Linked DNA regions of Alligator mississippiensis. The protein of the gene in region 1 interacts with the protein of each later gene in a pairwise test. Links are inferred from orthologs where the notes say so. Each region holds a gene or a part of one and is shown on either strand. Other genes may lie near its edges.

Region 1 (8,234 bases):
CCCACTTTTATTTTGTCGTCATGTGAAAAAATCACCAATTCTCTCTTTCATAAACTGGGACACATGCATTGCACCTCGAGTGGAGGCTTTCCAGTAAAGATTTCCAGCAATTGCTTCCCAGATTAAACTGAATCTGACCTTGCTTTGAGATAACAACCCTGTTGCAGAGCTTGATTTTTTTCTCTTTTAATCCCATAGAACCAGCAGCACCACTGGATATGGCTGGTTAAGTCAGTAATTTGTGGTGCCAGTGGTGCTTTGAGTCATGCTCGAGATGTTATCTAGGTGCTGCTTTCCCTGCTGGAGCCTGAGATGTACCTTTTTGAACACCGAGGGTTTATGCAGATGTTCTTGCAACCACTTCACCTCTTTATCTGCCAAGAAAGCTGATCTCAGCCATGCTTGTGGAGATCCCAAGGCTTTCATAATTTCATAGTTGTTAGGGCTTGGAAGGGAAGTACTGCTTAGTGCAGTAATTCTGGATTAATACCAATGGAAATGAGTCTGGGTCTATAATAGACTTTTTACCAACTGTTAGTCAGGAGGTATAATGCCCCCCAAATAATTATATTGGTAACTCCCTTACTGAGAATGCAAGTTTATTGGTGTAAAGATTCAGCAAGGATTGGGAAGAGCTGGCTTCCCAGAGCTCACCGGTGTGTCTGCTGTACAAGCCTTAGCCGTAAGCATCCTGATCTGGCTGACTTCTAAGGATACAGCCCAGTGAGCACCAATGTAGCACTCACAAGCAATTAAAAGGGGATGTTAGCTCTATTTCTGTGAATTAAACAATTTAGGGATGCTAAAAGCTTTCAAGCATTAGTGACCTGGATTCAATTCAAATAGCTAGATCTCTGCAAAGATACAAGGTCTGCTTCTACTTGCCCTGAACCTTGTGCAATCCTTGCCATTCTGTGAAAGAGTATAAAGGTTTCACTGACTCAGACGGTGGAGCCAGCTAATGCAAACTAAACCCAGCGGGCCAAGCGTCTTCTACTGCGGCCCCTTTACACCACTCTAGCAACCTAAAGGGGACATAAAGTGGTTACAAAGGTAGTTGCCTCTCACTTTAAAGTCCCTTTGCTGTCAGAGGGAGGGTTATAGGGGGTGCTGAGTATAAAAGGAGGATCTGGCTTCATGGCATCTGGCCTTGGACATCTTTCTACCTGTGTAAACGGTTCCACAAGGGAGATGGCAAAAGAGATTTTTAAAAAAAATTGAATTTGTATCTGAGGCCAAATTAGGCAAAACTAATTCTAAATCCAAGTGTTGAACAACCTGGAGTCAAGAGACTCGAGGGAGGGGGGGAGGGAGGCTGCCATGTTAATGGTAGTTCAGCGGGACATCCTCATCCCAACTCCTTGGGTTCCCTGATTTTCATGCCTCTAAGTCAAAGCTTTCAGGATTGCCTCCCTATTCACTCCTGTGGTTTTGTTGTTGCACCATGTCTGATCCCAGAGTCCAGTCTTAGTAATGGGAGGGAAGCTAACTGATGGCATTGCCAGGGCAGACATGGCCATTGGGTACTGTGAGAAACTAGAACAGGACAAAGTAAGTGGGGATTATCTGATGAGAAGCACCGATTACATTAAAAACAAAACCCAAAAAACCTGCCCTGCTAGCCCTGGTGCCAAGGAGCCTGGCATGGCACCAGCAGCCTGAAAACACTGGCAGAACATCACATGGTGGAGAGGCATGTTTCCACACCAAAGCTGCACACACACAGATGGCTGAGGCTGGAGGAGGGGAGTCCACAGAAGTCAGGATGTTCCCAGGGTTACATTAAGCCAGCCGTTCTAGGAATGGCCACGTGTGTCACTGACAATCAGAAAGTGGCATTTTATAGGTGTCAGTTCCCTGGGCCGTGGTTGGTGGCACTGTCCTAGTGATCAGAGTAAGGGGGGACAGGGGGACAGGGCTTATGGGGGGCTGTTCCCATGTTTTCTCTGAAAGCAAACGGAGCCAGATCATGTGCCAGCTATTAGCTGCCTCGGTGTGATCTTATTCCACCCTGCTTGAGTCCCTGAAAAACAGGCCTTGCGAAACATGGGTGGATCCTCCTATTCCTCGTTGCTTCGTGTGATGTAACGTGATGGTGCGTTACAAAACTAGGCACTTTGATGTTCTTGTCAGGGGATGAGCCAGGTACAATATAGGACTGCATTCAGGTGCCTAATTGCTGGAGGAGGATTTGGCCCATGGTGTATGAATGGAGCACAGCACTGGGTGGCAGGACTGATTTCTAATCCTAGCACTAGGAGGGAGTACGGCTGAGCAAGGAGAACTTCAAGCCGGGACTCCTGGGTTTTGTTCCCCTTGCTAGACGGGAGTGGGGTCTTGCAGCTTGAGCACAGGGCAGGGTGGCAGGACACATGGGCTCTAATCCCCACCGCCAGGACTCCTGTATTCTGCTTGCAGCTATCTATGTCCTCCCTTTGCCTCTCCCATCTTCCCTAAGCCCCCAACCCCGACCCCCCCTTCCTGTACCCCTGAAAGGTCCCACGCTGGCACTGGCACGGTCCTTACCTTGTTGATGGCCAGGTTTCCTCGGATGGCTGGAGGGGTGATCTCGTGCAAGATAGCTGCCCCAGCAACCCCTCCCAGGATCTGGGCCACCACGTAGAAGACAGCCCTGAGGAAGGAGATGTGCGAGCCGACGAGGCAAGCAACCGTCACGGCTGGGTTGATGTGGGCCCCGCTGACGTGCCCCAGGGTCTGGACCAGCGTGGCGATAGCCAAGCCGAAAGCCAGCGAGATTTGCAGGATGGTTGGGAGAGACAAGGGCCAGCTGAGGGCAGAGCCCAGGCCGAAGAATATAAAGAGTAGGGTGGCTATGAACTCGGCAAAGACGGCGCGGGTGAAGGCTACGGAGCGGAGTTCCCACATCATGAGGCGACCAGTGCTGGGGCTCAGAAGACCTACTCTACCAGCTGCTTCTCTTGGCAGCGATCCCTGCTCCTGTGGCTGCTCCCTGCAAGGATGCTAGGGTGCCAGATAGATGTATATATATGCTGAAAATCCAGGGATCTCCTGCTGACAGAGGTGGGGCCCAGGGCTTAGGAAACCTGATGCTTTATCGTCCTTGTTCCAGTTGACGAGGCTTCAGACCCTGCCCCCTCTATTAAGTGGGGAATGTGGCATGTGCCAGCCTCGGGAGCCCATACATTAACTTGGAGATGTCCGATAAAGCGCTGGTCTGAGCTGCAACTTCCCCTTTCCTCAATGCCATTTTAAAAGGTCCCTAATCTTCGGTCATTTTTTTTTCTCCTCTCCCTCCATCCCACCATCATTGCAACAGGGAGAGGATAGTAAGTCAGTGAGGCTCTGGGGATTGATCTGAGTCAGAAATCTGTATTTGCTCAACCTGAAACTGCAGGACTTTGTCTGTCCATCTGTCTTGTCTGGCATCCAGCTGGAGCGGACTTTGGGGTCCTGATGTCTTGGGTAAAACCTTCAGGCCCAGCTCTGACCATGACATGAAATAGCTATAGCTGTTTTAAATTTTGGAGGCAGGGGTTGAATTCTTCACCTCTGTACTTCTAGAGGGTTTTTTTTTCCCCTTGAATCCTGTATTCGAATACAAGTAGAATGGATCATAGCAGGCATTCGTGTATCAAATAGACTAATAGCTGTATGAATAGTTAGGCATGGCTTCTGGTCTCTTCTCAGGAGAGAGAGAGAGAGATTTAGATGGTTGCAAAGCCTGCAGCAGGCAGGGCTTGCTGTTGGATAAAATGGGGTGGGGGCACTGAATCCAGGGTCTTAACAGGACTGTGAGCGCATGAGCCCAGGAGTGCAGAGGCCAGGAAGCCTGCAAGTCAGAAATGCAAGGTGCATTGGTAGTGCTCTGTGGAATCGAGCCCAGGATTGGAATAAGAGGCAGGGGCACATCTACACATGCAATTATTTGACACAATAAACGTCAGTGCAGCGTTCACGTGTTTATACGTGTGCCCGGGACTGCTGCATGTTGAGCCGGGGTGGCACAGCGCTGGCTGGCAGGGAGCCTGGGGGTCAGCGGCTCCACCCCACCTCAACGTGCTGCAAAGGACGTGGCTGGGGCACGAGGTTGCTCAAGTGTGGGGCTAGCCAATAGGCAGCCCTGCACTTGTAGTATCCTCGTGCCCCAGCCGGTCCTGGTCACTGTTTACACGTGCGCCGCGGTGAAGTCAATAAGTCTGCCATAGAATAGCACTTGTGTTGGGCAGTACTATCCTATGGCAGAGTGAATTAGTTTCCTCTGGCCTAATAGCACTGCTTGTGTAGACAGTGATGTTTTACTGCAGAGCTAATTAGGCAGCTCCACAGTAAGTGTAGATGCACCCAGGGGCATGCACTGTGGGTGGGATGTGGGAGACCAGCATTAGGATACGATAGAGCTGTAGATTAGGACTGAATTGCATGAGCATGGATCCTTTTGCCTATAGCACCGGAAGAGAGCTGGAATTAGAGTGAATTGCTCCAGACCCATCACTGTGCCGGCCTGAAGAGTGCTGCAGAGAGAGAGATCCCTATGAACTCACTGGGGCTTGATCCAGCAGGTCACCATAGTATATCTAGACAAGGAAGCTCTGTCCCAGATTGCCCCTTGGCGTAGTGGATCAAATGTACCAAGGAGAAGCAGGAACCAAGCAATGTTCCTGCTTCTCCCAGTGGTCAGTGCTAGAGGGTCTGCTGTTTCATAATTTCATAGATGTTAGGGCCTGCAAGGGACCTGACAGATCATCCGGTCCAGCCCCCCTGCACTTGTGCGATTATTTTTCCTGGGCTGCCTCCATTTGACTTTTTGATCCCCAGCAAGTGGTGCCACAAAAATGTCTTGCTGTAGCTCCAAAGGCATGAGTCAAAACTGTGCTTGTGCCAAAGGTTGCTTGTGCCATCTGAGCTGAAAATGGGAGCCAGGTCATTTGGGCTGGAGAGTGCAAGGTGGTCAGAGTTGGTGCTAGACACTTTGCTCCATTGTATGCTGCGGGCTACGCAAATCAGCATGCTTTAGTCATGAGAGGCACAGGCAGACCCTCTGCCTCTTTGAATATGTCTTCAAGGACAGGTGATCCCATCGTCTCTGGAGTTTTAAACCTTCCTGCTGTAGGCAGTCACAGGTGACTGGACCCATGCTGCGGCTATCAGAGATTCCTCTAAACTGTTTGAATCTCTTGGGTCTGGAGGAATAGTATGGAAATATCACATGGATAACCTTTCCCAGGAGTCTCCTCGCACTTCAAGCTGATGGCTCAGCCAGAGGTACTTTAAAAAAAGGCTCTCCTTCCCTGAAACACAAAAGAAAAAGAAAATTCAGCAAAAAATTGTGGGCCAGTTTGGCTACAGACCCGCGTTTCCTCTTCTGCGGCTCACTGACAACGTACTGGGCCATGTGGTGATGAAACTGGTATGATTTGTCATGTCGACAGATGCGTTTGGAATGACTTGATTTGTGGGAAACATTGATTTCATATGAATCATTTTTCATGATCAGGTTTCTAAAATTGCAAGGAGACAGAAGGAAGATCTGAGAAGAAATACAGCCTGGGCTGGTTTCAAGGTGAGATGGTTGGTAATGCCTTAAGGTGGAATCACTGGAGTGGAGTCCAAAGATGTAAGCTGAATGCTTAACTCTTCAGCTGTTTTCCTGGTTGTTCGTTGATGGACAGGGACAGTAATACTGACCTACCTGAAGGCTCATGAGGATGCATTAATTAACACTTATGAGATGCTCGGATCATACAACAGGAGGTAGAGGAAGAACAGACTTTGGGGTAGAGGCCTGCCATGAATGCTGGGAAACCTGGTTCAATTTCCTTCTCTGCTACAGACTTCCTATGTGACCTTGGGCCAGTCATGTAGTCTCCCTTAGCCCTGATGTTGGAGTCTATAAAATGGGAGTAATAGCAGCACCATACTTCACTGACTATAGGGAGGCTAGATATAGCAAAGTATGCAAGGTATTGGATGTTACAGTGATGGGGGGACCACATGAGTACATAGACAGACACGGACAAGGCAGGTTCCTAGAGACTTCCTGTACTTCTAAGAACTTAGCATTACTCAGGAAATGCTAATCTGGGATGTTGCTAAGAATGAATGTGATATTATTAAACTCAGCAATTACACAGAATCAGTAGCCAGTGTGATTAATCACTATTACTAGATAGCCAAAGGTAACACTAGTCAAGAAGAACTCATTAAGCAAAAGTGAGACAGGATTACAGATTGTAGAAGGGGTGGGGAGGGTGAAACTGAGAAACAGAGAAGGAAACTTCCCCAAAGTTATTTGGTTTTGATCCCTTTTCACCAGGTCTACTGGCCTCCCCATCCTACACTGCCTGCCTTGCATTTGAGAGCTGGGGGGATGTTAAATCCTTGTCTGGAGGTCATGGAGATAGTACTGGAGGCTACAGTACACACTGCATGGCCCTGTAGTTGGTACCAGGAAAGGTAAAACCATCTGCAGTTCAGAACAAGGTTGTCCCACTGCACCGGGGTGGGCAAAATATGGCCCCCGGGCCAGATCTGGTCTGCAGAGGGACTTTGTCTGGTCTGCAGTGGGTTTCTCAGTCTCGCCTGGCCCAGGCACCAACCAGCCCATTGACAAGTCCCACCACCCCTGGGCGTGCAGCGGGGCTGGGTTGGCTCTGTGGCTGGACTTCATTTTCCGGCAGCCCTGATAGCAGCAGCTCCTTCTGGCTGCCCCCACCAGCCCCAGCCCCACGGAAACCGGCTTGGACCTATGCGGGCAGGACCCAAGCCCCGGGCTGAGCACACAGCCCCAGCGCTGGCCCCGGCCCACCCCACCCCATGCGGGGAGTCAGGGTCCGTACAGCGCCCACTCCAGACCTGCCCGCCCTGGCCATGACAAGAGGGGGTGGCGGTGGGCACTGGGCAGAAGCTGCTGTTGGGTGCAGGTGAAAAGCGGGACCTGGCAGTGGGCAGTGGCTGGAAAGAGGCATAGGACAGCCCCAGCGTGGGCTCCGAGTGGCAGCAGCAAGAAGGGCCCAGCAGCAGCGATGGGGCAGCGGTTGCACCCGCTGCCAGGTTCTGCTTTTTCGCCGCGCTCAGGAGCAGCTTCTGCCGGCCATCACTGCTCATTGTGGCTGGGGCAGGTGGGTCCAGAGCAGGTGCTCCAGGGACCCATCAGCTTCTTCCTGGATGATACCATTGCCTCCATGCCTAGCTCATTGCCACCGAAGCCCCCTGCTCAGGGTAGAAGGACAGCTTGGAAGTGGCGCTGAACTCTCTCCAATTTGTCCACATCCTTTCTGTAGTGGGGGGCCCACAACTGGACACAGGACTCCAGATGTGGCCTCACCAGTGCTGAATAGAGGGAAATAATCACTTCCCTTGATCTGCTGGCAGTGCTTCTACCAGTGCAGCCCAGGATGCCATTAGCCTTCTTGGCAAAAAGGGCACACTGCTGGATCATATTCAACTTCTTGTCCACTGTGACCCCCAGGTGCTTTTCTGCAGAGCTGCTGCCCACCCAGTCAGCCCCCAGCCTGCACCGGTGCATGGGATTGTTCTGTCCTAAGTGCAAGACTTATCGCTTGTCCTTGTTGAACCTTGTGAGATTTCTTTTGGCCCAATCCTCCAATGTATCTAGGTCACTCTGAATCTTAGCCCTATCTGCTAGCATATCTATTACTCCGCCCAGCTTGGTGTCATCACAAACTTCTTTAGGATGCATTGTCCAGATTGTTAATGAAGATATTGAACAAAAGTGGCCCCAGGGACACTCCGTTTGATAACTGGCTGCCAGCTAGACATTGAGCCATTGATTACTACCCGCTGAGCCCAACGATCCAGCCAAGTTTTTTTCTACCTTACAGTCTGTTCATCCAACCCATACTTCCTCAGCTTGCTGGCAAGAATGCTATCAAATGCCTTACTAAAGGCAAAGTGGCCTAATCTTCAGTAAAGCTTACTGTGGCCTCATAGCATTGCATGTGTAGATGATGACACTTTACTCTGCAGCTAATTAGTCTACTCCACAGGTAAGTGCATGTATAGATATGGCCCCTGTGTAGTTAAGAGACCAGTATACCTTTGGACTACTGGGCAGGCATTAGACCGCTGTAGGTAGGTCAGCTGAGTTGTGCAGGGCCATTATTTCAACCATTTAATCAGCCAAACTCTGTATTGCGTAGTCCCTGAAGCATAGCAGCGTCATTGGGCCATGACTATGATCAAACATGAATGCTTGTTAAGGAGCTCTTCTCTTGGTCTCGATACTGGAGCAA
Region 2 (7,800 bases), on another chromosome or scaffold:
CAGGCTGCTGGTTCTGATCCAAAACAGAGGAGGTCTCTTCCTAAAGATAAGAACAGTTGTGCTCCACAACACAAACAAGGTGCATGGCTCCAATGCTAGAGTGCACAAAAAAAGTTCTACCAACAATACCAAAGTATCCCTTTCAGTAGTGCTTCTTTTTGCTGTCAGAGAGGAGGAAACCTTTTGCCTGAAGAATGCCCCACTGCTCCCAGCAGCAGGCATTGAGTAAGCATAGGGTGGTGATCAGACCCACCTCCAATCAGACGGAGGTAGCTCTCATTGGTCAGAATAGCTTCTGCATGAAACACTAAGATGGGGATCCGCCTGCAGCCACCAGTCCACATGATGCATGGGTGTTCCCTGTAATAGCAAGAGATGATTAACACAAAAAAGAAGTCAAGCTTCATGCGCACACAGTGGGTTACACACTCCAGAAATATCCCAGCTACCTCCTCACATCAAGCTATTCAATTCTAGGCTTGCATATTAGACTTCAGGTTGGATGTACCTGTGGGCTATTTTAAAAGTACTCAGCTATGTATGGTACCTTCAAAATCATCTTCCCTTTGTACTAAGCAGACCATTCAACTGGGGATTCCATCTGATCTGTATTGATTTAAATGGTCAAGCAAACAGCATGACTCTTGAGAGGACCCCTGAAGTTTCAATGCTACAGGTGTTAACAACTTTCACATCCTGAGATCATTCAAGATTAAGGACAGGAGAATATATAGTCCTAGTCCCAGGAAACACACTCTCACCCTAAGCAACCCCCAGAAAACACAGTGCCACTCCCCAGTTTAAGGATTATATATCAGTGCACTGGAATATGGTTTAACCCTTGGACTCTGAAGTAAGTGTGGCAGCCTTCAAGCAGGCAGTGCAGGTTCAGAATCTAACCACAAAAAACCACAAAAAACAAAAATAAAAACCACACATCAACCTATACAATAGGTATATTCCAAAACAACATGCAGCCCAGAACCTGTGGCAGCTGCAGGTCCCAGAATGCAATGATGCATCTAGATCAAAGCACTGCACACTTTGAACATGAGTCTGTTAAAAAGAATGGCTCCAATCTATTCAACTTAATCCAGCTCTACACAGTTTGTGTGCACACTATACACTCTTCATTTCAGCTGCATGTCAGAGTCCCGCTTCTGCTCTCGGGGCATTTAAGGAATGTTTAGGATTTTCTTTTAGTTTCTGCACAAAAAAAATACTCTTGACTTTCAGCTTAGCAAGGGGGAAAAAAAGCAAAAGATGAATACACTCAGGTCTCTCTTTATGCAAGGGTTGCAGTCCAAAAAAACCTTGCATAAAGCAAATCCAATATTACATGCAGTTAAAAGGCATATGTAACAGCCTCCTTTTTCGCTTCATGGCTAACTCAGGAGGGGGGTTAGGAGATACACTAGAAGGTCACTTAGATGACATTTCACCAAATTCAATAATAACAGCAAATAGATGCACCACAATATGAGTGCAAGTAGCATAGTACTGCATGGAACAATGGACGATGCGAGACAGGCAAGTGCATGATGGCGTTGCATACCTGCCTCACGTACCCTCCCACAATGCTTCACTCACATCACTGCATAGCCACGTTGCATGCTCCTTCACATACAATTGAATTTCTCTCACACAAAGCAAGTTTCTTTTATAGATAAAGTCATAGCATATAAGTGTATTCGCACAAAATGCACGTGCATAGAGAAACTCAAGGGTACCCTAATTGGAAGCTTTCTAAACCTCATAAAACTCTCCCACCTCCCATCATTGGGCTAAGCTCCATGGGATTGTGGAGCTGCTTGGAGCGCAACCAGGATGTGGGGAGAGCCAGGGCTGTACTTCAGCTCCCACCACCGGGCTGAGCTCCATGGGGCTGCAGAGCCACTCGAAGCGCAGCCCGGCTGCAGGAGGTGGGGAGAGCCAGGGCTGCACTCCACCTCCCGCTGCCAGGCTGAGTTCCGTGGGGCTCCACGGCCCCATTGGAGCTCAACCCCATGGCGGAAGGTGGGCAGAGCCAGGGCTGCGCTCCGCATCCCATCACCCAGCTGAGCTCCATGGGGCTGCGGAGCCACTTGGAGCGCAACCTGGTGGCAAGAGGCAGGGATAGCCAGGGCTGTGCTCTGACCAGCTCCGCCAGCCCTACAGAACTCAGCCCAGCGGCGAAAGGCAGGGAGGGAAAGCCAGGACTGCACTCTCCATCGGGCTGAGCTCTATGGTGCTGCAGAGCCACTCAGAGCACATCCCTGGCTCTCCCCTGCCTCCCACCACCAGGCTGCTTCAAAACTCAAAATGTTTTGAAAGTTTCAAAATGTTTCAAGTCCCCTCATTTCATTTCAAAGCTTTTTGTTTCATTTTGATTTTGCTGTTTCGAGCTCAAAACGCATCAAAACGAAACACTTGGTGAAATTTCACACATCCCTATTAGAATCCACTGCTTAAAACTTTGAGACCACAGACAACAAACCTGTTGCTTTAAGCAAGCAAAGCTCAGAGTTTTTATTACTTACTGCTCAGAGAAATGGAAGCATGAGGAGAATGACAAAAGCAAAAACCAAAGCAGGGGGGAACTTCTCTAAATCTACATGGGTCAATCAAAAGAAAGAGACAGATGTACACAGAGGATGAGCAAGCAGAGTTCTTTCCTGAAGCTTCTCCAGAATTTTGCTAAAGAAATGTTCCCTGGTTTTTTCTCTTACTAACAGCTCCAGCATACAAGGCTAGAACCAAGAGTTTAAGCTGACAAGGTTGCAGCAGATGCTGGCTGGAGTTCTCTAGGCTGCTGTACCAGGCTGTAATTCATTAGGTTGGGGGAAGAGTATATTTCAAGTTCGTATTAGTGCTCTAGCACAAGCACTACCATTTGCTCAGGAGCCTCACCTAATAGGTACTGGAAACATTTACCTTCAGTTCCTTTAAGTCCTTCAAGTTCAGCAAAATGGGATGGGAATGAGGCTTCTCAACTCAAATTGCCACTTCAAATCCAGACCAAATAGATAGCAAACCTCCTCGTTCCATTCAACCAACATGAAAGAATTTAGCAGCTTCAATGCAGTTCTCTGCCCTCCCCAACCCCGGCCAACAGCCCAGAACTGAGGCTGTGTAGCCAGTTTCATACATACCTGAACTTGTACCAATAGCATGCCTAAGAGAGAAAGCCTAAATGTGCTCCCAGAACCTCTGAAAACCACACTAAACTGGCTACAGTGTCTAATTCCTGGGGCTTGGCCCACACTGACCAGGAATGACTTTGCAGCAGTTCTCCCACACTTGGTGCAGAAGTGGCACAGACACCTCTGGAAGTTGCTCAGTGCTCTCGCCCAGATGTTTTGACCCTACAGCCTGCACCTCCTTCCATCCCCGCTTCTTAATCTTTTGTCACCTTTGATCAGGTGAAGGGGAGTCATGGGTTTCGTGGCAGACTATGGCCAAAGATGGGTTGATGCTGCAATAAATACCTGCAATAAACACTTAAAAATGTATTCTAGTAATATGCTTTTCTACACCTAGTACAACAACTTACAGAGAGGCACCTGTGAAGACTCCACCTTTGCATGTCTGGGCAGGAGTAGACAAGAAAGTACTTGTATAGGGCACATTCCTGGGACCAGGGCTAATAAGGAAAATCTTCCCCTTGGGGCACGCTATGGGAGAGCATTTTTTCCCACATGTAACTACTGAAGATGCAAGGAAATAGCTCCTGTTGCTAAAGAAAAGCTATCCTTCCCTTTGCCCCTGCACCAAATCCACTCCACAGCAGTCCCTACTGCCCCCACAATCCTCCCAGCACACTCCTAAAGTCCTGGCCTCAGGTATAGTTCAACTAGTCACCTAAGGCCACGCGGCTGGTGCAGCCACACCAAACCCCAAGTGATTCCAGTGCCTAAAACACAGACTAGGACCTTATGTAAGTGGGAAATGAGCCGAGGCAGCAGGAAGGGGCTTTGGGTTAAGCCTGCCCTGAGGGATTTGCAGCAAGGCCAGCAGGACTCATACAATCCTTCTGGCAACTGTCACTCATGTCCAGAATGACCTTTGGTTGCAAGGTGCAATGTGCCCAGACACAGCCAGGCTAAAGGGGGCAGCCCTGGGCCCTTCTAGTCCTAGACTGGCACATATGAGAACAAGCAACTCCAAGGGAGTCTTTGCTGGGTCTGCTTGTGGGGGCTGTGTCTCCTTGAGACTCTGGAGGTCACAGACATGAGGAGCTAGAGCGTGGCCTGAGCAGAGGAAACAAACCCACTGTCAGTGCAGAAACAGGAGCAGCACCTCGGAAAGGAGACCGCTGAGGCAAAGGGGCTGAGGAGGTACTGGAGCTGAGCAGAAGCATCGCTGCTCCCCGCCCCCATCCCGGTCATCCAGACATGGGCGGAGGACGGGAGAGCGCAGCCGGGGGGGCAGGTAAGGACCCGAGCAAGTGCCACTGAGCAGGACTGGCAGCGGGGGGACACGGGGAGCGTGCAGCGAGCCTGAACCCGGGCAGAAGCGCGAGAGGGAGGGAACACAGGGCGGGCCGGGCTCCGAGACCCTCCCGCTCCGGGAGAGAGGGACCCCGCCCAGGATCTGCTGCGGGAGCCCGGAGCTACTTACTCCGGCGCCGCCGCCGCCGCCGCCGCCTCCTCCTCCTTGGAGGAGGACGAGGACGAGCCGGTCTCTTCCAGGTCGCGCGCCATCCCCGCGGGCATCTCCTGCGGCCGCGCTCATGCGGCCCCCGTCGGCGCGCTGCCCCCGGCGGCCACCTGCGGGCACGGAGCTAGGTAAGCGGGGCGGAGCCGGGGGGGGCGCGCGCGCGAGTGGGCCGCCCCCGCCCCGCGGGCCCACACCTGCTGCCTCATGTCCCCGCGCGCGGCGGGGCGGTCTCGGAGGACGCGACTCCGGCCAGCGCTTCCCCAGTTACTACAACAACCAACAGGCAACCGCTCCCCCCCTTTCCCTCCACCAGCTACTGCGCAGACGCGAGCGCGACGCCCTCATTGGCTCCTGCCGCGCAGGCGGAAACAGTGCTGTTCCACGCCCTCTGCTGAGCGCGCGCGCGAAACTGGCGCTTCCGCCTCTTCCAAGATGGCGGCGAGACACGGCCGGAGCACAGGGAGGGGAGGGGAGGGGAGGACACCGCCCCTGACGTCACCGAGCGTGAGGGGTGGGGCCCCTTGCGTTGCTGCATTTGATTGGGACAGGGCGCTGGCGTGTGAGTTGAGGCGAGCCCGCGAAGCCAATCAGAAAAGGGGCAGGAGCCAATCAAGAAGCAGGGGCCCGGGGGGCGAGGAGCAAAGAGTGGCAGGTGCGGTGGGGCCCGGAGCAGGTGCGAGGGCAGCGGGCGGGCTGGGCCGTGCCGTGCCGTGCCGCGCCGCGCCGCCAGGGCCTGGCCTCACGGGCTCAGCGCGGCATTAGCCGGCGCTGCCCTGGCCTGGAGCTGCTGGGCGGCCCCGCGTGGTCTCCCTGCCCGCCGCAGCCCTGGGCAGCTCCGGCGTGCGGGGCGAAGAGGAGAACAGGCTCCAAGTGGCGCTGAGCTTCGACCTCTGCCGTGTCCCCGAGCAGGCGGCCGCGGGCACAGGGATGAGCCGCTTTCTGAACGTGCTGCGCAGCTGGCTGGTGATGGTGTCCATCGTGGCGCTGGGGAACACGCTGCAGAGCTTCCGTGACCACGGCTTTCTGTCCGAGAAGCTGTACACGGACGCGCCCAGCCTGGGTGAGCAGCCCCGGGTGCCCCTTCTCCTCCGGGGCTGGGCCTGCCTCTCCCACGGGCTCCCAGGCACTCCAGCCCCACGCTCGTCCTTCTAGGAGCCGCTGGCTCGTGTCCTCCTGTGCCTCTGCAGAGAGCGCCAGCCCCACCCCATTCCTTCTCTCACAGACCCCTCTGTGGCCTGCTGACCACTGCCTGCACCTGGGTGGGGGGGCAGTAGGTACAACTCGCCCGGCCTGCAAAGGTGGCCGCTGCTGTCGCCAAGCAGTGTTGCTGGGCAGCAGCGCACTGTTACCTTGGTGATCCTCTTGGCATTCAAGCCACCTCTGCCCGTTTCCCTCCTTGATGTCTCTAGCTGGCAGAGGAGGGGGGCTTGGATTCATAGCAGCTCCGGAAACACCCACTCAACAGCCTTTTCATCATCTCTGAGCTCGTTGCTTCCTCCTGCATGCTTTGAATGTGAGGACACTAGCTAGGAGATCTTGTGCGTTGCTTGGCCCAACCTGGGGAGAGGCTGATTCCTGGGAAGGAAAATACTTGTTCTTTATCCATTCCCTTTTCTTCTTTGCACAGTGAATGGGCTTCAGGCTCGGACCTTTGGCATCTGGACCCTGCTTGCATCAGTGATTCGTTGTGCCTGTGCCGTAGACATCCGCAACAAGACGTATGCAAGGGAAACATCAGAGGAGGGGGTGTCCCTTGTTGCCTACATTGCACTCTTACCATTCCATAACAGCTCCTAACTGTCCTCTTGTGGAGCAGCTTGAGTAAAGGCAGGGAGTTGAGCACTTTACTGGACAGCTCTTGGGGTTAAAGCAGGGGTGGGCAAAATGCGGCCTGGGGCTGGATGCAGCCCACCAGGCCATTCTGTCCGGCCCACGGGGCCCCTAAAAAATTTAGAAAATTTAATATTTATCTGCCCCTGGCTGCCTATCATGCGGGCCTCAATGGCTTGCCAAAACTCAGTAAGAGGCCCTCTGCCCAAAATAATTGGCTGCCCCTGGGTTAAAGGCATTCCTTAAAGCATCAAAGAGGAAGTCAGGATGTATAGGCAGGGTGTTTAATTGCCTCTCCTTTTAAAAAGTGAGGGGAGAGACTGTTCACTTGAACACGTCTCAGATCAGGCAGGTAATTATTGGATCTGATGCAGCCTGTTAAGCCATACAAGATTTCTGATGCTCTCCTTGCAGGGTGCTTAGCCCCATCACCACCAGACTGAGACATGTTGTTTCTTTTCCAGTGGCAGCTCTATTCAGGATCACATGGCTTGTAGAATGATGCACCTGGCTGGGTCTCAAGAGGGCATGTCCTTGGTTGTATGTTTGGGTAAATCATTGGATTGCTCAGAGGTGGGGGCAGCAGTATCTTGTCTCTGGCTTGAGGAAGCAGCCTACCAGTTGTATATTTGTTAAACAGCCAGGCTCAGCCCCTGTCACATGTGGTGACAGCTCTGCTTCAGGGAGTTTTTGACTGTGGCTTCCATTTGAATTCATGGGGCATGCTGGAAGGGTAGCTTTCTGGGATAGAGGATGAGAGCTGGTGGTTTGCTTTCTGGTGTGTCTGTGCAAGATGTGTCAGGCCAGCTGGTTATGTCTGTGGTTTCAGGAGCAGGGGCAAGGTCAGGGGCAAGTGACAGTTACTGTAGAGTGGGAAGGTCAAACTAGGCAGCTGTTTTCTAGGATTTTTATTTTTTCCTTCCTGAGTCCCTAGGAAATCTTAGTTGTGGCCCCTAGAGGGCAGCAGATCCCATGTAGAAACCTCAGATGAGATACAGGAATTGGCCAGCCCCTCCAATTTCAAGTTAACTCATAGTCTTCCAGCATCCCAAGACATTTTGCACCCACCCACCCAGAGTAGGTGGGCTGTCTGCTCCAGCCAAGCAGGGTATGCTCTAGCACCCCCTGGCTTCTGGCCCGGGCCGCTGCAGGCAAGTAGCTGAATTTCCAGAATTGAAAGTAAATGTCTGTTCACTTGCATATCAGTTCAATCTAATCTGTGAAGCTTGAATCAATTCAGCCACAGGCTTTTTGACTGTCTGTACTTGGCCCCAGAGGCTGTCCTCATCAGTGTCTTTTCTCTTTTCATGGAGCACCAGTTGCTCCCACAGC

What was found.
Region 2: the proteins of AQP2 (region 1) and ERG28 interact in binary tests that used the Homo sapiens proteins (3 or more experiments, as listed by UniProt). The link is inferred for Alligator mississippiensis from reciprocal best matches to the Homo sapiens genes AQP2 and ERG28.

The regions. Positions count from the first base shown.
Region 1 is NC_081838.1:9,968,623-9,976,856, reverse strand, and holds the start of AQP2 (aquaporin-2), read right to left. Parts: upstream 3,035-8,234; 5' UTR 2,890-3,034; coding exon 2,527-2,889; intron 1-2,526. UniProt on the Homo sapiens protein: Forms a water-specific channel that provides the plasma membranes of renal collecting duct with high permeability to water, thereby permitting water to move in the direction of an osmotic gradient. Plays an essential role in renal water homeostasis.
Region 2 is NC_081825.1:261,562,958-261,570,757, reverse strand, and holds the start of ERG28 (ergosterol biosynthetic protein 28 homolog), read left to right. Parts: upstream 1-4,694; 5' UTR 4,695-4,766; intron 4,767-5,317; exon of another isoform or gene 5,318-5,547; 5' UTR 5,548-5,565; coding exon 5,566-5,698; intron 5,699-6,265; coding exon 6,266-6,356; intron 6,357-6,932; coding exon of another isoform or gene 6,933-7,018; intron 7,019-7,800. Other genes in the region: tubulin polyglutamylase TTLL5, read right to left, coding at 254-360, 4,600-4,694.